Schizosaccharomyces pombe: one gene and its partners. The gene in region 2 interacts genetically with the main gene of each other region. Each region holds a gene or a part of one and is shown on either strand. Other genes may lie near its edges.

What was found. A genetic interaction does not mean that the proteins touch.
Region 1: of med13 (region 2) and srb10, changing one suppresses a phenotype caused by changing the other (phenotypic suppression), as found in Schizosaccharomyces pombe (2 studies listed by BioGRID, with this or other methods).
Region 3: mutations in med13 (region 2) and vph2 together harm fitness less than expected from each alone (positive genetic interaction), as found in Schizosaccharomyces pombe (2 studies listed by BioGRID).

The regions. Positions count from the first base shown.
Region 1 is NC_003424.3:1,574,855-1,580,211, forward strand, and holds srb10 (mediator complex cyclin-dependent protein kinase subunit Srb10), read left to right. Parts: upstream 1-1,852; 5' UTR 1,853-1,999; coding exon 2,000-2,982; exon of another isoform or gene 2,983-3,047; coding exon 3,048-3,174; downstream 3,175-5,357. Other genes in the region: SCF complex, Cul4-RING and CLRC ubiquitin ligase ligase E3 subunit Rbx1, read left to right, coding at 556-630, 819-968, 1,032-1,122, 1,167-1,174; protein Not11, read left to right, coding at 3,460-3,591, 3,638-3,802, 3,939-4,130, 4,189-4,686; ribosome biogenesis protein Tsr1, read right to left, coding at 4,902-5,357. UniProt on the Schizosaccharomyces pombe protein: Catalytic component of the Cdk8 module/Srb8-11 module which is a regulatory module of the Mediator complex that regulates basal RNA polymerase II transcription.
Region 2 is NC_003424.3:3,094,575-3,103,479, reverse strand, and holds med13 (mediator complex subunit Med13), read left to right. Parts: upstream 1-4,812; coding exon 4,813-4,854; intron 4,855-4,889; coding exon 4,890-8,405; downstream 8,406-8,905. Other genes in the region: snd302 (pho88 family protein), read left to right, coding at 1-511; protein qng1, read left to right, coding at 964-1,002, 1,049-1,197, 1,331-2,183; mtx2 (metaxin 1), read right to left, coding at 2,479-2,733, 2,813-3,373; protein Noc12, read left to right, coding at 3,650-3,997, 4,061-4,219; protein mug74, read left to right, coding at 8,595-8,905. UniProt on the Schizosaccharomyces pombe protein: Component of the srb8-11 complex. The srb8-11 complex is a regulatory module of the Mediator complex which is itself involved in regulation of basal and activated RNA polymerase II-dependent transcription.
Region 3 is NC_003421.2:66,343-71,662, forward strand, and holds vph2 (V-ATPase assembly protein), read left to right. Parts: upstream 1-1,909; 5' UTR 1,910-2,188; coding exon 2,189-2,611; intron 2,612-2,674; coding exon 2,675-2,893; 3' UTR 2,894-3,137; downstream 3,138-5,320. Other genes in the region: RNA-binding protein Rnc1, read right to left, coding at 1-343; SPOM_SPCC757.11C (transporter), read right to left, coding at 3,299-4,714. UniProt on the Schizosaccharomyces pombe protein: Required for vacuolar ATPase assembly.

The sequences.
Region 1 (5,357 bases), 1.5 Mb from region 2:
TAATAAAAAATAGCTCTATTACTTCAGAAAAATTCGCTGAATGTGTTCAATTTGATATGCTAGAGAAGGTACAATATTATAGATAAATAGGGCTATTTACTAATTTTGGTTGAAACGTTTGTAGGAAACCGTCTTCAGTACTTCGATATTATATACAAAACTTATTCAATAGATGTCTAACGAGCACACATAATACAAATAATATCTAAGAAACTTGTATTGTCATCATGTAACATAGAATTAAAAGTTTACACATTTAAACAAACTGAGTAATTTAATGTAGCTAAATAGATATAGTGCTAAACACTCATGAAACAGCAGATGAATAATCATCCTTCATTTTTTGAGTACGCATTTTGCGATTGAAAGATCCATGATCCATTATTTATTATATTAAATACTTGTGTTTTAGCAAAATTTATTACATTACTCCAAAAATTATCTTATGTTTGAGTATTGCTTAGCGAAGCTGCAATTTTCAACCCCCTTTATCACACCGCTTAAACATCTCATCTTAAAACGAAGTAGCGGCTTTGCTCTATTTTACTCATCACAATGGAAGATGAAATGCAAATAGACAAGAAGGAGGTGGAAATTGAACAAAAACCTCCTCGATTTGAAATTAAAAAGGTTCGTCATTATTTTTATGATCATGTTCTTCATGTGTATCAAATTTGCCATAAAGCAAAGTAAACTGTGAAAATTAATACCCAAAGATATATTTGCTATTTTAAAATAAGCATACACTTAAGTACTAGTTTACTCTCTTTGCTTTTTTTATGAGTTCTTCTGATTCATATTGCTTACCTTCAATTTAGTGGAATGCTGTAGCATTATGGCAATGGGACATTGTTGTAGATAACTGTGCTATCTGCAGAAATCATATTATGGACTTATGTATTGAGTGTCAAGCTAACACCGATTCTGCTGCTGCTCAAGAGTGCACAGTGGCATGGGGAACTTGTAATGTAAGTTTTAATTCGATTTCTTTCGTATTCTTAGCTCAGGACTGTTTTTAACAAATACAAAAGCATGCATTTCACTTTCACTGCATCTCAAGATGGTTAAACACTAGGAATGTTTGTCCTTTGGACAATCGTGAATGGGAGTTCCAACGTTATGGTAGGGTATATTAAGACGAGCCTACTTTACTAACTTTATCTCAGGTCATTAATAACATTTATTAAGTACTTACTTTTTTGTTGGTAAAAATATTTCAATGGAGCAGAGCGTTTTATTAATGAAATGACATGAATCAATTAAAATTTCCTAAAATCATGACTACTTGTGGCTAGTTTAAGTTTCCATGTGACTTTGAATTGTTATTTATATTTATTTACTCCAATTACTCAGATAGTGGACGAATATATCAATTTATTTTATTGCTTGTCAAATAAAATTTCCTACAGACAGTTTTTAACTACACATCATATAAATTAAGACATTATATCACTACTTTGTATACACTTGAAGAATTAGAACATTACTTAAATCATCAAAAGAAATGGCATACTTCTAAAGTGCTATTGTTAAAATTGAATAGGCATACAGACATTATGCTGCATATCGCATGACAGAATGCGAATCATTGCTTTCGAGAAGAATGTCAGTGGTGAGATACAAAAGCTCAGTAGTGCACGGATTTTCTATACTTGCCAATCAATTCACAAATTCAGTTAACTTTTAAATAAGAACAAACAGCTTTATGAAAATTACCATCTGATGTTTAAAACCTTCAGTTTATCAGACTTGGTGTTTTCGTTAATAGTGGGTAGGCATAAAAAGATTCGTGGTACTTTGACTCTTTATTCGCCTAATACTAATGTTTCTGTCGCCTTCGTCACTTCCCACTATAGAGAGACCTACATTCATCTGACTTTTTAAGTGATACTAAAAAGTCGGATACTTTTTATATAAAGACTGTAAAAAGCATCCCTATGTGATTGAATGTGTATATATCCATCTCTTTAAAGGTTTGATAGGGTAGGGTCATTTCAGCATGAAAGACGGTTATAAAATTATTGGGTTTATCTCATCTGGAACTTATGGAAAGGTTTATAAAGCGGTTTCATCTAATTCGAATGATAAACGACTGTTTGCAATTAAAAAGTTCAAAGCTGAGTCAAAGCAAGTAAGCTCGAATGCTCAACAAACCGGCGTTTCTCAAAGTGCTATTCGTGAAATGATGCTGTGTAGAGAAATTCAGCATGAAAATATAGTTAGCTTGGTTCAAGTTTTACTCAAAGATGGCACAATTAGCATGGTTTTTGAATACGCCGAACACGATCTGTTGCAAATTATTCATTTCCATAGCCGATCTAGAACAAGACAAATTCCACCATCAATTTTAAAAAGTATTCTATGGCAGATCATTAATGGTGTAGCATACCTACATGAAAACTGGATTATGCATCGAGATTTGAAACCAGCAAACATAATGATTACAGCTACAGGCAAGGTAAAAATTGGGGACCTAGGGCTGGGAAGGCTCATTCGGGATCCCATATTACCATTTTATTCCAGCGATCGTGTAGTAGTTACTATTTGGTATCGTGCGCCAGAGCTACTTTTGGGAGCTCACGATTATACCCCAGCAATAGATGTTTGGGCAATTGGTTGTATTTATGGAGAAATGCTTGCTCTTTCTCCTCTTTTCAAAGGAGATGAAATAAAAATGGAAGATAAAAAAGTCGTTCCTTTTCAGAGTACTCAAATGCTACGCATAATGGAGTTACTAGGCACACCAACAGAAGAACGCTGGCCAGGTCTCAAAAATTATCCAGAGTACTATCAATTATCATCATTTGAAGTTCGTTACTGGAATAATTTGCTTCCTCAGTGGTATCAAACCGTAAAAAATCGGGATCCGCAAGGGTTAGATCTACTGATGAAAATGCTACAATACGATCCAAAATCACGCATAACTGCTAAGCAAGCTTTGGAACACGTTTTTTTTACTTCCGATAAATTATGGACCACTAGGTACGTGTTCTTCCTTTTCCTATTTATCATCGAAAGAAATAAGCTTTTACTAACTCACTTTTTAGCCCATTTTTAAATCAACCTATTCATTATCCAGAAAGGAGAATTTCAGAAGATGATTCCGAGGTTTCCTCCAAACGCGTACTATCTACTTCACTAAGGTCCGAAAGTAAACGTTTTAAAGGAAATTGATTGTTAATGCTTCCCTTAAGCTATTTAAAAGATTATCTGTAATTTTCAATTAAATATTTCGCCTTTTCTTGGACGTATATTTGATATTCTGTCTACGCAGGGCACCGTCGTTTTATTTAAGAATACCTAAAAAACTCACGATTATTTATTCATATTTTTGACCATTGAGATACTAAAATTTTTTTTCAACTATTCTAATATATGGTTCAAACCATACATTTTTGCTAGTACATCCACGTTGTGACTCATTATTCTTATTGTTTTAGAGGGAAGATTCCAACAGCCATGTTGGGTAAGGAATGGGAAAACACTAGCTTTGCAGAAATTGGTCTACTACATCAAGCGCCTAACGATAATGACTTAGAAAAATTTCAACATGCTCTAACGTTAATGAGTGAGGCTGATAACTCTAGCGATGTACTAACTTATGATTTTTTACTGGATTTTCTCTAACTTGCCATAGCTTTTAATACCACTTATTAGTGACTTTTTAATATGGTTTTATTATCAGAAAACACCTTTAAAATGGATTCCTTTTCTAGGTCACTTTTTTAATACCTGGCAATCTTGTAGTTTTCCTCCCCGCAGATATTTGCTAGCTAAAATACTTTCAGGGAGAATTTCAGAGGTATGTGTAAAGAGAAAAAGAAAGCAGTTTATTTTTTTTTGTTTCGATACGTCAATTTTCGAACGAAACTTTTGTGATTGAATTTTTTTTTTGCCATAACAAATGCAAGTTGTTTGTTGGTACTAACTATGCATAGTTGCTGAAAGTTTCTCCTTTTGAGCTTGCCGCTTCTGTAACTAGCCAGGATGTAGTCGAAGCTGATTCCCTAGTTGAAGAGAATGAGTTACAGGCTTGGCTAGAAAAACAAGAACTTGTACCGTCTTCCTCTAATTTTCTAAATTCTTTTTGGATTTCAGGGGGAGAGAGAGAGCTAACGGAAGAGGAACAGGTAAGATTATCCTTTTTTTTTCAATTTTCGAGGAATTGCTACTGACATTTCGCTTTAGAATTCTTTACTTCAAAGCAACACGACGTACACAAATTCTGATTTGCCTGCCTCCAAGCAGCTTGAATCTTTTATTTCGATGAACCTTTCTTATAGTAAAGTTTTTTTCCTTCATCTTCTACAGCACTCTGATTCCTCGTTTAACGATAAATTTCTCTTGCTTCTTGCTAATATTCCCGTTACAGTTTCAAATGTAGAAGTCTTACTTTATTTATTGCAACAAGAAGAAAGCCTTGCTCAATTTGATCTTAACGGCAAATCTTTTCTTTATCACATGCTTGTATCCTTGCATAACCAAGTTACCAATACATCACATTTAGAAAAGCAACGAATATCCACTGTTGCGACTTTATTTATATCCAAACTATTCGAAATACCTTCTTTATCTGAGTATTTATCGAGCACATTGTTTTTAGATCTTCAGGCCTTTTGCATCGTTGCTTTACCGCAATCAGCTAAGCTATTCCAAAAAGTAAAAGCATTAAAAAATAACCCTTGAGTTATTGAAAAGTTAGTATAACTCTATTATTTATTCGTATCTATTTAGAAAGCTTGAGTTACGATACTTCTAACATTAAATTTAACACACAAGTACTACATTTCCATAATATCCCAATATCCCAATTCTCTGCTAGAGTAAAATAATTAGAGTATTCCATTTTTTATGCCTAAACCCATTACCAAAAACTAAACTACTAATATTCACAAATTTTTTTATGAATCAATATCCGTAACCTTGAATAACTCGCAAGGTAAAGGATACATACGCTTATAAAGCGACATAGCTACAGTATCTTGTACTGTAATTTTACCATTAAAAGTTGCCTTGAAATAACCGTGGGTACCAAGTGGTTCCTTAATATAACCCGTTCGCCCTTGTTTAGTAAAAAGCTGAATAGGTTTGAACCAAATAACGTCTTCTGGATTAAAAAACATATATCTAATAGTGACCAATTTTTTGTGTACTTTGAAAGGATGACCTGTTAGAACAGCTCTTTTAGCAATGACAGAATTGGTATCACAATTTACATATGAGCCGGTAGCGGCAAGACGCAAAGAGTTATCCGATGACTTTTTGAACATTATTATAGGTACATTACCAAAGACGATAGGAGAAATAACAGATGCGATAACAGCTTGCTTAGGTGGAAGATATCTATGATATTTTTG
Region 2 (8,905 bases):
TGCTGCCTATGTGATCTCAAACACCATTATTTTTGGTGTCTATGCAATTATCCAAGCTCGTATTAATGCCAACAATGATGAGACTCCTTTGGTTTATGAAGAGCCTGCACCTCCTTTTTCTGGACAAAGCAATGGCAAGCTAGTGACCACCACTGTCAAGGAGTATGATAGTGAGCAATTACAAAAGGCTAAACGCTCTACCATGATGGGTGTAGCTATCATGGCGTTCATGCATTTGTATATGGGTTATGCTCAACCATTGGTGATTCAGTCCATTCTCCCTTTGATTTCCTTGTTTACTAACAACTTGGTTTCCATTTACATCTTTAATAAGGCTGCTGAAGGTAGCTTATCTCGTCCATTTGCTCCCCCTGCTGGTCTCTTTGGGGGAGGAAACAAGCCTGCAGCTGCTGTTACTGGCACTTCGTCCAATTCTAACAATGCTTCAGCTAAGTCTGATGGCCCTACAATCACTGAATTGAACGAAAACGAAACTGAAAAGTCTTCTTAAGTATCTATGAACGCTGGACATTCAATGATACTTCTAAAGTCATCATGCTTGTTTAATTATTTCGTCCTTTCACTGGTTGATTTAATTTGATAGTTGTAGAATTAAAGATCGATGTTTTTTTTCCTAGTTTCAATTTAATCGGTTCAAATTCATTTCCTTTGCATTTTTAGGTTGCTAATAGCTCAAGTGTTACACAAACCAGTAGTTCTTGGATTGTAAAATTGGGCTATCTATAGAATAATATAATTATAGTAAGATAAAGTACGAATAATTTATAGATACATGTATGAAATGAAATACTTATTTACACTTTCCTCCTTCATTACTTTTTAATGAATCCTTAGTACGCTTGTCTTACAAAATATTCGTTCGTGCTCTTATTTTTCTTGTGTTTTACCTTTCTAGGTCTCAGTGTAAACTGGCATCATCCACGTTCCCTTAAAACTCTTATAATGTCCCGAGTGCTTCAAGATGCTGAATTTATTTCTTTGGTAATTTTACTACTTATTAATAACTGCTAACATGAACGATTGAAAGAACTCAAACGATGTGAAAGTTAATAAAGGTGGTTGTGCAGCAGTGGCAACATGGATTAAAGAGAAGCTAGATTCGTTGGGACCCCAATTCGCTGAGTGGCAGAATCACGAACTTCACCCTAAAACCCGAGACGTCTCTACCTTAGATTGGTATGTGTGGACGCTTGAATGTTTTCGTAGATTAAATAAAGATGAGCTGCTGAACATATACACTTTATATTTTTTTAATACTTCATTTCAACAAGTTTACCCTGTTCATAATGTATTAACGTCAAATCTTTAGGATTTTCTTGGTGGACATTTTGAATTTTTCATTTTGGTCAGACGTTGACGTTGAAGACAGTGGAAAACATTCCAAGAGATTTTCTATTGAATACAAAGGGAAGCTTTACACTGGTTATTGGAGTCTATGTGCAGCCATTAACAAAGCATTAGATGCTGGTATTCCCATTACAAGCCCTGCTTTTTATGCTGATGAAAAACAATGTCCTGATACCCTCATTGCTTCTGTATTTGACAGTGCTACCGTTGAAAAAATACCGCTTTTAGAGGAGCGTATAAGAATCATGCGAGCTTCTGGCCGTGTACTGGTAGATTCTTATCATGGCTCATACTGCGGATTACTCAAAAAATGTCATAATCAAGCGCAGAGACTAATAAAGCTATTGTTGGCTGATTTCCCTGATTTTAGAGATGTATCTGTTTACAAAGGAAGAGAATGTTATATGCTCAAACGTGCTCAAATTTTGGTAGCAGAAACTTGGGCTTGCTTTCAGGGACAAAATTACGGTCGATTTGACGATATCGATTCTATCACAATGTTTGCTGACTATCGCGTTCCCCAGATATTGTGGCAATTAGGATGTCTGAGCTATTCTTCTGATTTTAAAAAGCGTTTGCTAAAAAATGAATTGATAGCTCATAATGATCCTATGGAAATCGAGATGCGTGGATGTAGCATTTGGGCTGTTGAAAAGATTCTTCAAAACATTAACAGAAAAGATGTTAATGCTATCACAATTGATTTTTTTCTATGGGATCTTGCCAAAGAGTGGCAAGCTAAGGGTTATAAACCAAGTACTCAGGTCGATGAAGTTACAATCCCTTGTATTAGAGTGAGAAGTATATACTATTAGAAAGTATTTAGGCTTATGCTGGTGGCATTTGAAAAAATATACTTATATAATATTGACCTATTGTTAATTTATTCTCTTTTTAACATAGAGTGAGAAAGTACTAAAAACAAGCTGAAATAAATTAACGGAAAAACATGGTAAAGTTAATGTTAGCATTATGTGAAAGCTAGTATTAATGAGAAAATGCATTTGACATTATAACCACGTTTAAAAATAAAATAATAATATCGGGAACTTCGGTCAAAGCAATCAAAGAAATAAAATTTCGTTGGGCTATGCTCAATTAATTAAAATGTTAACGAAGAGCAATGGGTCCAGCCGATGTATAACCAGCGAGAGTTCTAACTCGCGTTGTGAGATCAGTTAAATTTTTGTGTGTCCCCAAAACAACCTTTAATTGATCGTTTTTTAAAGGTAAATGATTGATAATTTCTGCATGAGCAAACAAAGAAACATCTAAGAAAGAAGGTGATTCGTTATTGAAAAACCATTTGTCCGATCCTAAAAGTTCTGAAAGAGCTGAAAACGCCTTCGAAGCATCCTCTAAAATCTAAGCTTTGTTAGTACAAATCATGCTTCAAAATGCTCGGTCTAGAAGACTAACTGCTATCAAAAATTATTAAACGTACCGCATCAAAATCAAGAGTTGATTCGTTCAACTGAAGACAAATTTTTCGTTTAATTTGAGAAGGTAACCCGATTGATTTAATAATATTTAAAGGCCAAGACATGTTAGGTAACCATTTTTTTTGAATTTCAGAAAAGTTCTCGTTGTCCAAATACATAGTTAAGAGAATTGCCGTTTCTACTTGATTTATCAGCAAACTCATCCAAGGAGAGATTTGCTGCAGTGTTGACTCATCCTTTAAAAAATATTGTAAAAGAGATGGATTGAGGACTAATTTTCGAGATTCAATTTGAATAAAAGGTACTTTCTCATCTGGAGAGGCGTGGTTAGACACATTTAAAAAAACAATTGAAGGGTCGTTTAATTTTGCCCAGGTTTGCCATTGAAGACTATTAACGTCCAGAGCCTCTGAGTTCAAGTCGGAATTCCACATAGTCAAATACATGACTGTTTTCGTTTTGTAATCTTCATTTTCGCCCGGGTAAGGATTAGAAAACGTTATTAAAGGGAAGCGGGAGAAAATGGAATGAAAATAACTCGAAAATTTTGTTAGACCGCCCATCCTTTTCACTTGTCACTAAGTTTGCTAATTCTAAAGAGTTTACACCAATACCATCAATAGTGTGCTTAGCGAAATTGTTAGATTAAGTGGTAAAGCGTGCAATTTCTTCAAATTTCTACCTATATTGTAGTAGGAGAAAATATTCTGTTGTTTCTACTATACCAAGCATTAATTCTGCATACACACTTTTCTATTTTGCGTTGGATTTTCACATCCTCTAATAATCGATAAACTCGACAAAAGATTGTATTTATTTTATTTGACATAAATCATAATATGGATTTGTCTTTATTTTCAGATATCAAGGATGTCGTCGAGAGGGACATGAAAAAAAATTCAAAAGTTGTGGAAAATTCTTCTGCTAGATCACTAAAAAACAAAACAGAGGAAAACAAAACTATTGATAAACATAAAAGTTCCGTTGGTCCTAAGGAACCCAAATCATCATTGGAAAAGCCTAAAGCGAATCGGAAAAGAAAGCAATCGTATGGTTTACTCCATGATATTAAAGAACTCGGAGGTACCGAAGAGGATCTGGAGCTGATTGAAGATGTAGAAAGCGATGAAGAGTTGGAATTCGAAGAACCCAATCGTAAACAACCCAAGAAGGATGGGACTGATGCTGTAAGTCAATATCGATGTTTCTTAATTACTTCTTTCAAAAGGTTCTAATATCCTCTGTTTTAGTTTGCAAATGAGTTGAATTTGTTCGCCAAAAAATTGGGCTTTTCTAAAAACAGCTTTGATGCTCGTGCTCTAGACACTGAGTCAGAAGATGAAACCGAAATCGAAAAAAGTTCGTCTGAAAATTCTGATTCAGTTGATGTCGATTCGGATGATGAGTAAAAAACGCTTGACAACTAGTTTATTTATTTAAAAATTTTCCTTCTTATTATAACTTTATAAGCAATGAGTGTATCTGTTAAAACTGATTGGGGAATCCCAATTTCTCTGTAATCTTCTCGTTCACTTTTCAGATGCCATCACTCATGAGTTGTTTAAACCATCATTCAAGAGGAGTCTTAAGGGAATGTAATGTTTAACTAACATTATACTGAGGGATAGGTTCATACATATTACCTGAAGGAGTTGCAATTGTGTTGGACCTTTATTGCTACACTTTCATTCATTTTAATTATTTGTAAAGTAAGGATAGGAATTTAAGGCGGAGCATTCTTTTTTTATTAAAATAGCGGTCATTACGGGATTAATATAAACATTATATGTCAGTATATATTTCCTTCATCAATTTCGAAGCATTTATGCTTATTTGCATACTAAACCGTTAGTTTAATGTTTGTTTATTTTATTATTAACAGTAAAAGTATCAGGTGTGTTTTAAGAAATATGTTAAAATGAGACAGTGGCCGCATGTGCTTTCTTTACGCGTGTACGCTAGCTACTTCCTCTTATATAATAATCTGCCATTATCCTCTGCCATGGTACATGATGGAGTTCATCTAATTAGTATTAAAACAATTGTAATTATTTCTATTATAACATGATAAATTAAAAGCTAACTGATCAGCCTTGCCCTAACACTATATATTATGCGAAGTATCAGGTTCAGCGAAAGGACAATGAGGATGCTGCTTCCCTCTTAGAAGACAAAGAAGCTTATCTACGAAATCAGGATTGCATTGTTCACGCGAAGAATGACTTACTTTTTGTATATGATTTTCAAGCCATTCCATCTATTCCTGAGGAATCATCTTCTTTTATGCTACTTAATTCAGGTGCATTTTCCAGATTAGCTCTTTTTCAAAAAGATGAATTAGCTCTTCTATTAGACCTGTATATAAACTTTCTTCAAGGATTGAAAAAAACGGTGTTGTATTGGCTGTGCAAAGAATACAACTTTGTTCCAATTTATGGTGTCCTTCTTCCTTTAAAATTACACCCTTCTTTCGATACCCAGCTCTGGAACATATATGGATATCCTGTTGTGGATTTACAGCTTTCTGTCTTATCGAAAGGCCATATAGAATTTTACTTAAAGCCTACAAGGCAGACGGTATATCGTTTGTCGGAAGTGGATAATTTGGTTAAAAAGTTAGACACTGTCATTCGTTTAGCCCCGACTGGTTGTTTGGCAACATTAACCTCTGTGCATGCCAACGCATCTGCTCAAACTGTTGATGCATTGAAACACCGCTATGGATTCTCTCTTACGACTACTTCAAAGTGGGTGGGTGTTACCTTAGAATCTTCGGCATTAGAATTTTCCTGGCCTTTAGAACTTTGCTTTTTGGAAACGTCGGCCCTTCGAATGAATGATGATTCATTATCTAGCAACCTTACAGATTTGAATAACCTAGTCCTCCCTTCAAACGTCGTAAACAATAAAAAGGAATTAACTGAGTTCGCAAATGAAGAAGCGGAAGCTTCAGATAAAAGAAAAGAAGGTTTTACAGAAAAGGAAGAGACTGCTGATGCCGTTGTAACCTTGGTTCCTTCTCATAGTTCTTCTCCCGTTAATTATTCGATAAATTCTGCAAAATCTACACCTGCTTCAATAAAAGTAAATGAAGAGATACTTGTTGCTGATCATAATGTTTCAGATGACATACTAATGGAGGAAATAGACGATGTTGGAATAACAGAGGCTGATTTTGATTACTTTGACTTACCTAACGTTGAAGAAAAAGTTGAGATGATTGAGCCTAATTTTGCAAATACTATGACAACCTTAGATAATGAGGAAATCAACACTTCCATCTCTCAATCAAACACCAGTCCAAATTTGAATACTCACGAAAATATTCCAAAGCAAATGGAAATTCAATCGGATGATAGAATGGTAACCGAAGATTTAAATCCATACAACGTCGAAGTTGATATTCCTGAAATTTCTTTAAATATTTCAGATTCTAAAATCCCTACATCTGCGTATATGCCTTCATACTATTCTGCGGTAATTTTTCCCTCGTCTATCTCCAGTATTTTTCAGAAGTATAACTATGGTGGTAAATATTGGTGCCCTTCTCCTTCTTTGTCAACTGAAGATTTATTTGAATCATTTTCGGTCGCTGAATCGGTAACTAGTACAGATGAAGACATCTGCTCTACAAACTTTATACAACAAGATTTTACAATGGAGTATAATCACGATTTTTTTTCATCTTCTAAAACACCCACTAATATCTCAGAACAAAGTAACCCCGATTCAAATTATGATACGCTATCGTTAGCACATCAGGTTCTTATGAATGAATCCAAGTCAGCAAATTTTGATTTCAGTTTTTTAAAATCGTTAGATTTACAACCCACTATTACCTTGGGAAAAAATGACTTGTTAAACGCTATTTTGTCTCAAAACTTATGGTTTAGATCGTTACCTTTTTGGAAAAGCATGACTACCAGTTTCATGATGTCTCAAGATGTTTTAAACTTTTCTTCGTACATGCGGAAGCCTATTAGGGATTATTTAGAGAAAATATTGTTAGGTGAAAGTTCGGCTGTTTTCTTGAGCAAAAGCCCAGAAAATTATCTGTCCTCGATTAATAACGGGCATCACGCATTAAATGACAATCCTCCATCCCAAGTTAACTTTTCTGAAACGTTGGTAAACTTCTCCCAACCTCCTCGTGTTTTGCTCAAATACAACGAAAAAAAGTTGTCTTTAGATTCTTCGGCACCAGAGAATTGGATATCTTTATGTCTTCAACCGTATGGTGAGAGCAAAGATTTTGAAGTTTTTTTGCTCTCTTCCAAATCTCCCGACGTAAGCAGCAAGGCTATCAGCTTTTTTTATGATGTTCAGCTGGCTTATGAAAACTGCAAACTTGGAAAACTGAATTTATCTGAAACTTCTATTAACGAAAGAGTGATGGGATTCAGTACAAATATTAATGAAACAGATAATTATGATGATAATGAAACAACTCAAAGCGATACAGCAACCTCTTATGAACAACTAGCGAGTGTTTGTGTTAATGAATTAAGCGGAAAAAACGTACTTTTTTTTTATTTTTTAGAAGATGATTCCGAAAAACTTTTAAAGGCTTGTCAACATTTTATATGCGTAAAGGACTCAATCAAGAGACTTGGGGATAATAAATTTGAAGATAAATCATTACGAATATGCACGATTCCGAATTCTATTTTTGATTCACCCAACTCGCATACTACAAATTCGAACTCTTTTTTTACAAAAGTTTCACTCGACATTTATAATAATGATCCTTTATTGATGGATGGTTCATTAAAGAGACGTGAACCGGCTTTTCTCCTGAAAAAGCCCTTGTTATCAACTCTTAACTATCAGCTTAAAGATATTAATCCCAGATCTTCAGCTTTGGGAGAGTATGCGCTACATGTAACGTATACAACTGTCGAAGAGCACTTGCTTATTTGCAATTGGAATGATTCCTATGGAGAATTTGAAACTGAGAGACGCTATTTTCTCCAAGACCTTGAAATTGAAGATGCTTTACAGCAAATTTTAGAAGTCACATTTACGTTCCTTAACTCAATGCACATGGATTGGATAGTAATCGTCATGAAGATTGGTGAGATGTCTGACGCAGAGTATCTGTTTTGGGATCAAGCAATAATACCTGAAAACTTACAAGGCAATGTTTCTCTTACAGTTGGTTACTGCTCAGCAGAGCACGGACCTGGCTCAACTTCGAAAGTGTTTTCAAGGATTCCATATTCGGCTTCAAGCACAGTTATTCGTAATAATAGTAGTCATGAGCTCTCTTTGGTTGCGTTTATCCGAGAAATGGCAATGCCTGTGCCGAACGATGAATTTAAGAAAATTTCTACAATCTTAGCTAGAGGATACTTAGCATTAGACGAGGACGAATCTTATTTACCACTGTTAAGCATTCATCTTTTGATATCTCGAAATCATGATCCTTATTTAATGTTAAATCTTATTTTAAAACATTATTTAAGTATGATTTATTTACAGTTTCGAACGTATGTTTCTTTTTCTTCACTCCCATTACACATTTCTACCGTTTTATACCAGAAGCAACTATTGCAGTTTATGGCATCAGACATTACACATCCTGTGACCTCTTAGTTTTTGGGGTATTATTAATTTATACAGTATAAGTTTATAATGCGCTTGTGCCAAAATTGGTTTACTCTTGTTATCGTTTTTGTTTACTAGATTGGGAAGGTTGACATAGTGAAAACACAGTGTTTGTTTACTGTCGACTATTTCATATTCCGCCATTTTTAACCATGAAATTAGCCAACGCAAAACATAATGAAGAAACATAAGTCCTCAATTAAGTGTTTTAAGATTGACCAAATATCTCAACAACCTGAAACCGATTTGGTTTTTACTAAAAGGTCGGAATGCAAAGTAAAAGATGAGCTATTTTCAGATAAGGAAAACTCAATCTTATGTAAACAGTTGAAGGAATTAGATTTAGTTGTTTCTTCAAACAAAGAGTTTCTAAACGAAAAGACATCGGATCAAATTTCGTTTTTGAAACCAAGAGAAACAGTAGTTGAAAAAAAATTAGCAAATGGGAGTATTTGGCCTAATGAAACTTCCCATTTAGATAAATCTAG
Region 3 (5,320 bases), on a different chromosome or scaffold from region 2:
TTTTTCCAGCTTTACCAATAATGATACCAGCTTCACGAGTAGAAAGTAAGGCTCTCAAGGTAAGTTGTTGAGTAGCATAGGTGGCATCATCCATCGGTGGCTTGGCAGAGATGGGAGGCACTTGAGACGTTGGTTCGGGTTGGTTGGTCATGGACTGTTGAATAGTAGAACCGTTAGTAAGAGTCGATAGAGGTGTAGAGGGCTTTGGAGTAGGTATGGAAACTTTAGCAATGCCAGTAGCAGTAGAAGTGGTTTCGTCGGGTTCGTCTTGAAACGTTACGTCAAAAAAAGAGTTCTCTTTTTCCTCGATGTTTTTAGGAATGCTGAAGTGATTGTAAGCCATAGATGTCACTGGAATAGTATTGGTTAATTGAATAGGACACATATGCGTTTCTAGGAGGAGAGTAGAACCTTTTCTAAATTACTTCCTGAAAACTGATTAGTTCAAACCTGCAGGGATTTAGCGGAGATTAAAAAAAAAAAGGAAAACGGATTAGGCTCCTTCTAAGCTCTTATTGCAGTTTCTTATAAATTGAAATTGCAATCAATAGCTGTGATTACTTCGACAAAAATGAAGTAAACGACCAAGGAGAACGGAGTAGTGGTAAACGGGGTGTAGCAGTGACAAAGAGAAAATTTTCTGCAAGTAAGTCTTTTGGTGGGGAAATAACGAAGTTTGAAGAACGTATAGTAAAGTCGCACAATTTACTGATAGGAAGTGGTAGCGTAGCTTTACGCCTCAGTCGTTATATCTTTGGAAGTGAAAATGATGAGATTAATAAATGAGAAGAGCATTACAAGAATGGGTTTTTTAAATAATCGTAAATTTCCTAGCTAAAGCTAACGAATGCTGCCAAGTGAAATATCATTCTTTTAGTCAATATAGCAGGTATTAACGTAGTTGTTTTCGTTGGCCTTTGCTTCGGTATATAGGATAGCGTGGTTCAAGCGACTTTGTAAGATCAGATGAAAGATAAAGGGCAAAAACCTAAATAGCGTCCATGCATCAGTGGAACTTTCTTTCTTCAGATTACGTTATATGGTATAGTGAGCTTTGAAAATCGTTGAAAAAATTCGAATTTAATGGTGCAGAGGCAAAGACGATATGGACGTTCGGAAAAATGAAAACTATACTGGAGGAAGTTATCTTTATTTGATTCTGTCTTCGTAATTAAGCTTCCTTCAGCTTCGAACTTTTCATTTCCTAATTCGAATACCTATTTGTTCACCCGTACCTCTTTAGGTTTATATTTGTTCTTGCAAACTGTTCTGCGGCGATATGAATTTTGCTACCCCAAAGTTTACGTAAGCCAAGTTTGTCGTAAATAAATTCGCAAAAAAAAGTACTTTGGATGGTGCAACATGGAAGAATTGAACGCCGTTGAAACGCTGGTATTTTTGAACATGAAGTATCTCAGTATTCAACCCAAAGTCATAAAAATTCTTGAACCTTTAGCTTTCCAAGCGCTGAATGAGCATACTGGGACACATTTTGAAACCATAGACGCAAGTAATAATTGCGTAAGTTATATAAAACTCATAGAGCCAACAAAGCTAGTAGCATTTACTTCTTAATATTATATTGAAATTCCAATAAATAATCTTTGAATATCGTTTGTATGAAATACCCGAGAGCAATTGCGGCGCTAAATTAAACTGAATGTTCAGTTACCAAGATTTATGTCACTTCATAGAAAGATATAATATCACAGTAGCGTGTACCATTCTTCTATACCTCACTGAACGAGGAAGTCTACAATTCTGCTTGGCCTAGCACAGTGTTAGCGAGGGTGAAGAATAAAATTATGATGCTAATTACCAAAACGGTGATTTCAAAAAAAGTTGAGGAACTTTCATATTTTCATTTTTTGCCTCTTATAGGACGCTATGTATTACGTTGCGTAACTTTGACTTTTGCAAATACTTGGATGTACCACTGTCTCCATGTTTGTTTGTTGGTCAATATAAAACGTAGTATTAGACATTAAAATATTGGTTTAATTATTTCATTTAGAAAACTCAATAGAAATTTAGCAAATATCGTCAACCAACCTAGATTGATCCTGTTTCACGCAATTCGGACTATATGAATCGTTTTTGATTGCTTTCTAGACTTCATAGCATTATTACTTACCCTTCTACTTTTTTAATACCTTCGAAATTGTCAAATTGACTCATTATTGCAAAAATGCTGTACAGGCTCTCCGAAAAACAGCAGACAGACTTACGGTGTAATAAATTAACTGTCGATGGATTTGAGCTGGTAAAAATGTTAAAGGAATTACGATTACATAACAGGAATATCAATTTTTTGGAATTTCTTCGAGGTGTACAGATTGTGCCGAGCGACAGTGTCTTCTTGGGCGAAATTGATGAAAACAGCCATACTCAAGACAATACAACTACTTCTATCTTAAAGGAGAAAGAGCTATATGATGGTATTCCTCTGCTTCCATCAATGGCAGGCGTATCCATGGACCCTGAGAGAGAAAAAAAATCAGAGTTACGACTAATGAAAAACCAAATCAGCGCTATAATCAATATACTCTTCACAGTAGTAGGAACGGTGACCGCTGTTTGGTACTGCACTTCATCTTTATCTATTGAAAAGGTATGAATTAAAAACTTTCGTTTTGTTCCTGGGAGACCTTTGTATTGACTTAATATTATTTAGAAAATTGCGCTATGTGCGTTTTCAGCAATCTTGGTTCTAGTAGCAGATACGTTTCTTTATGTCCGCTATCTATCTGCACAACCCGTACGAACTTCAAAGAATCATACTCGACAAATAATATATACATGGACAACAAATGACCCTGTTCTACAGTCAAATGAGCAGCTAGCTATAGAACTGGGAGCCATTCCATCTTTGAAGGAAAAAAAGAACCAATAATTATATTCTTAATTTTTAGATGTTTTATTAACGAAAGTACCTTTGATGTTTTCCTGTAGATGATTTTTATAGGTTGTTTGTCTAATTGATCATAATGGCATACCTCTCTATGTGTTAATTGAAGGGCAGGCACCTATGGGCACACTATAGATAAAAAATAAAAAGTATTTAAGATAAAAAATTCGAACTCATTTGGCTTTTAACGTATATTTCATCAATTAATTTCATTATAATTAAAGATTTAGCAACATTATTTCAATTTAATTAGCCATTTGGTATTAGATTTATTTGTAAGGAACACAACTTACAAATTTATAAATAAACAACAAATCAACCCCCCCTTGTAAAAAAATTAAAAAAAAAAAAAAAAATAGAGAGCAACCTAACCATTGAGTTACCAGTGAATTATGCAAGGCGCAACTTGACCTTAAGTTTCTTCCATATAATCAATAGTGCAAGCACAGACATAACGTTTAATATTAAGCATACCGCAAAAAAAACAACAGGTGAGAACGAGCGAAATGCACCGCCAAAGATAGCACCAACTGTGTCGGATAAGGAAATTGATATTTGCACAGCGACGTTACCTATCAGGTGGTACTTAGGATGTAAAACCTTTGTCAATAAAGAGACCGAAGGGGAATTAGCAATAGAAGATCCAAAAAAAACAAGGGTGTAAATAATAAAGTAAGGTTGTACGAATTCCTTGCCTGTATAGTGAATAGTTATATGAATAACCATGCATACGATGTTTAAACAACAACCCAACAATATGATATCTCTGTCAGTCAAGTAACGCGTCAAATAGGAAAATATTAAAAGCAAGGGTACGTTGATAATTCCAGCCAAAGAAAGGAAGTTACCTGCTTGGAAGGATGAATAATTATAAAGCATAGAAGTGTAAATTGGAACAGATGCTTGGTATGCATTTAATAGAAAGTAAGCAGAGAAGCCAGAGAAAGCGACAACGAAAATAACAAGACACCCCACAAATCCTAGTTTTGAATTGGTATCCTGTTTGACATCATTAATGACATGCTTCTCTTCGACTACTTCTTCCTTTACGTCCGTTTGCGGGCTCAAAACCTCCCGGAAACAAGCAAAGCCAAACAAAAACAAGCCTACCCAAATGAAAGCCATTAGCCAGTTACCCGAAGTATATTCATTCCAGATATCGCTTTGAGACTTCATTGAAGACTTGGCCATTAATCCTCCGATGAATGGACCAGCTGTCAAACCAAGCGTTGCCATGACTGAGTTGACCACACCCATCGACGTTCTATATTTGATGCTGATCAAGGCTTTATCTGTGAAATAGCGCTTGTGGTATAAAAACATGGTACACGCAACACCCGTAAAAATACGACTCACAAGAATCAAGGCCACACTTTTGGCTTTATCTGCGAGTGCATACATGATATGACCAATAATGCAGCTTATACACGACATTGTATATGGTCTTCTATAAATCGTATATCCCTTGGCAGCTTTCGGAGTCGAGAATCTCAACATGGGATACAGCAACACAAGGGCAGTGATTGTGGGCAATCCGATAATTACACCGGACAAACCATTTCCTCCCCCCAGATGTTGGACAAATCTCTCGGACGTAGGAACGACAATGGTGAATGAAATGCAAAGAATTGTGTTATTTAACAGCATCAAAGCCGCACTGATGAACGGTGGTTTATGCGTAGCAGCCGGTGAGGCAGAAGGGTCATTGGAAACTAATCTTACAGATTGCTTGTATCCCGACTTTTCCTTTTCATCAAGAAAGGATGAGACCGAGAGGTCTTTTTCTAAATTACTTTGTTGCTCCATAATATAGACTCAATGGATCCATTCAAAAACCTGCTCTACTACGAAAACTGGCCTGTGGAATAAGGTATAGAAGGAACGAGAAAACAAAGAGAAATTCTTTGTTGTTTTCAAATATTTTGGTGTGAGTAAAGGAAGAAAGTGGAATTTCAATAGAATAGCATGACTCGTTTATTTTATATGAGATCAATTTTTTTAAGTTGATGATATCCGATAATTTTCATCATCGTATAGAATGGATAAGAATTCCCAAAATAGGATATCCACGGTGCTTCCCTAATTAAGCTTTCCGTAGTGCGGAGTATTTTACCATATATCAGTCATTAGTTGTACGGCTACTGTACTAGCTCACATGGTCCAGTGGTTAAGACTCATCGTTGTGGCCGATGCGACCCAGGTTCGATTCCTGGTGTGGGCAGTTTATTTATTTGTTCTTTTTTAAATTATTAATTACTTGTATAAATAGGAAATAATCAGCGAGAGCAAATAGTACAATTCAGTTATGGCAAGTACAAAAACGCAAAGATAAATGCAAACGTAGAAACCGGTAGACATGATGGTAGAAGGAGAATAGAATTATGATAGGATATGATGATAAGTATCGAATAG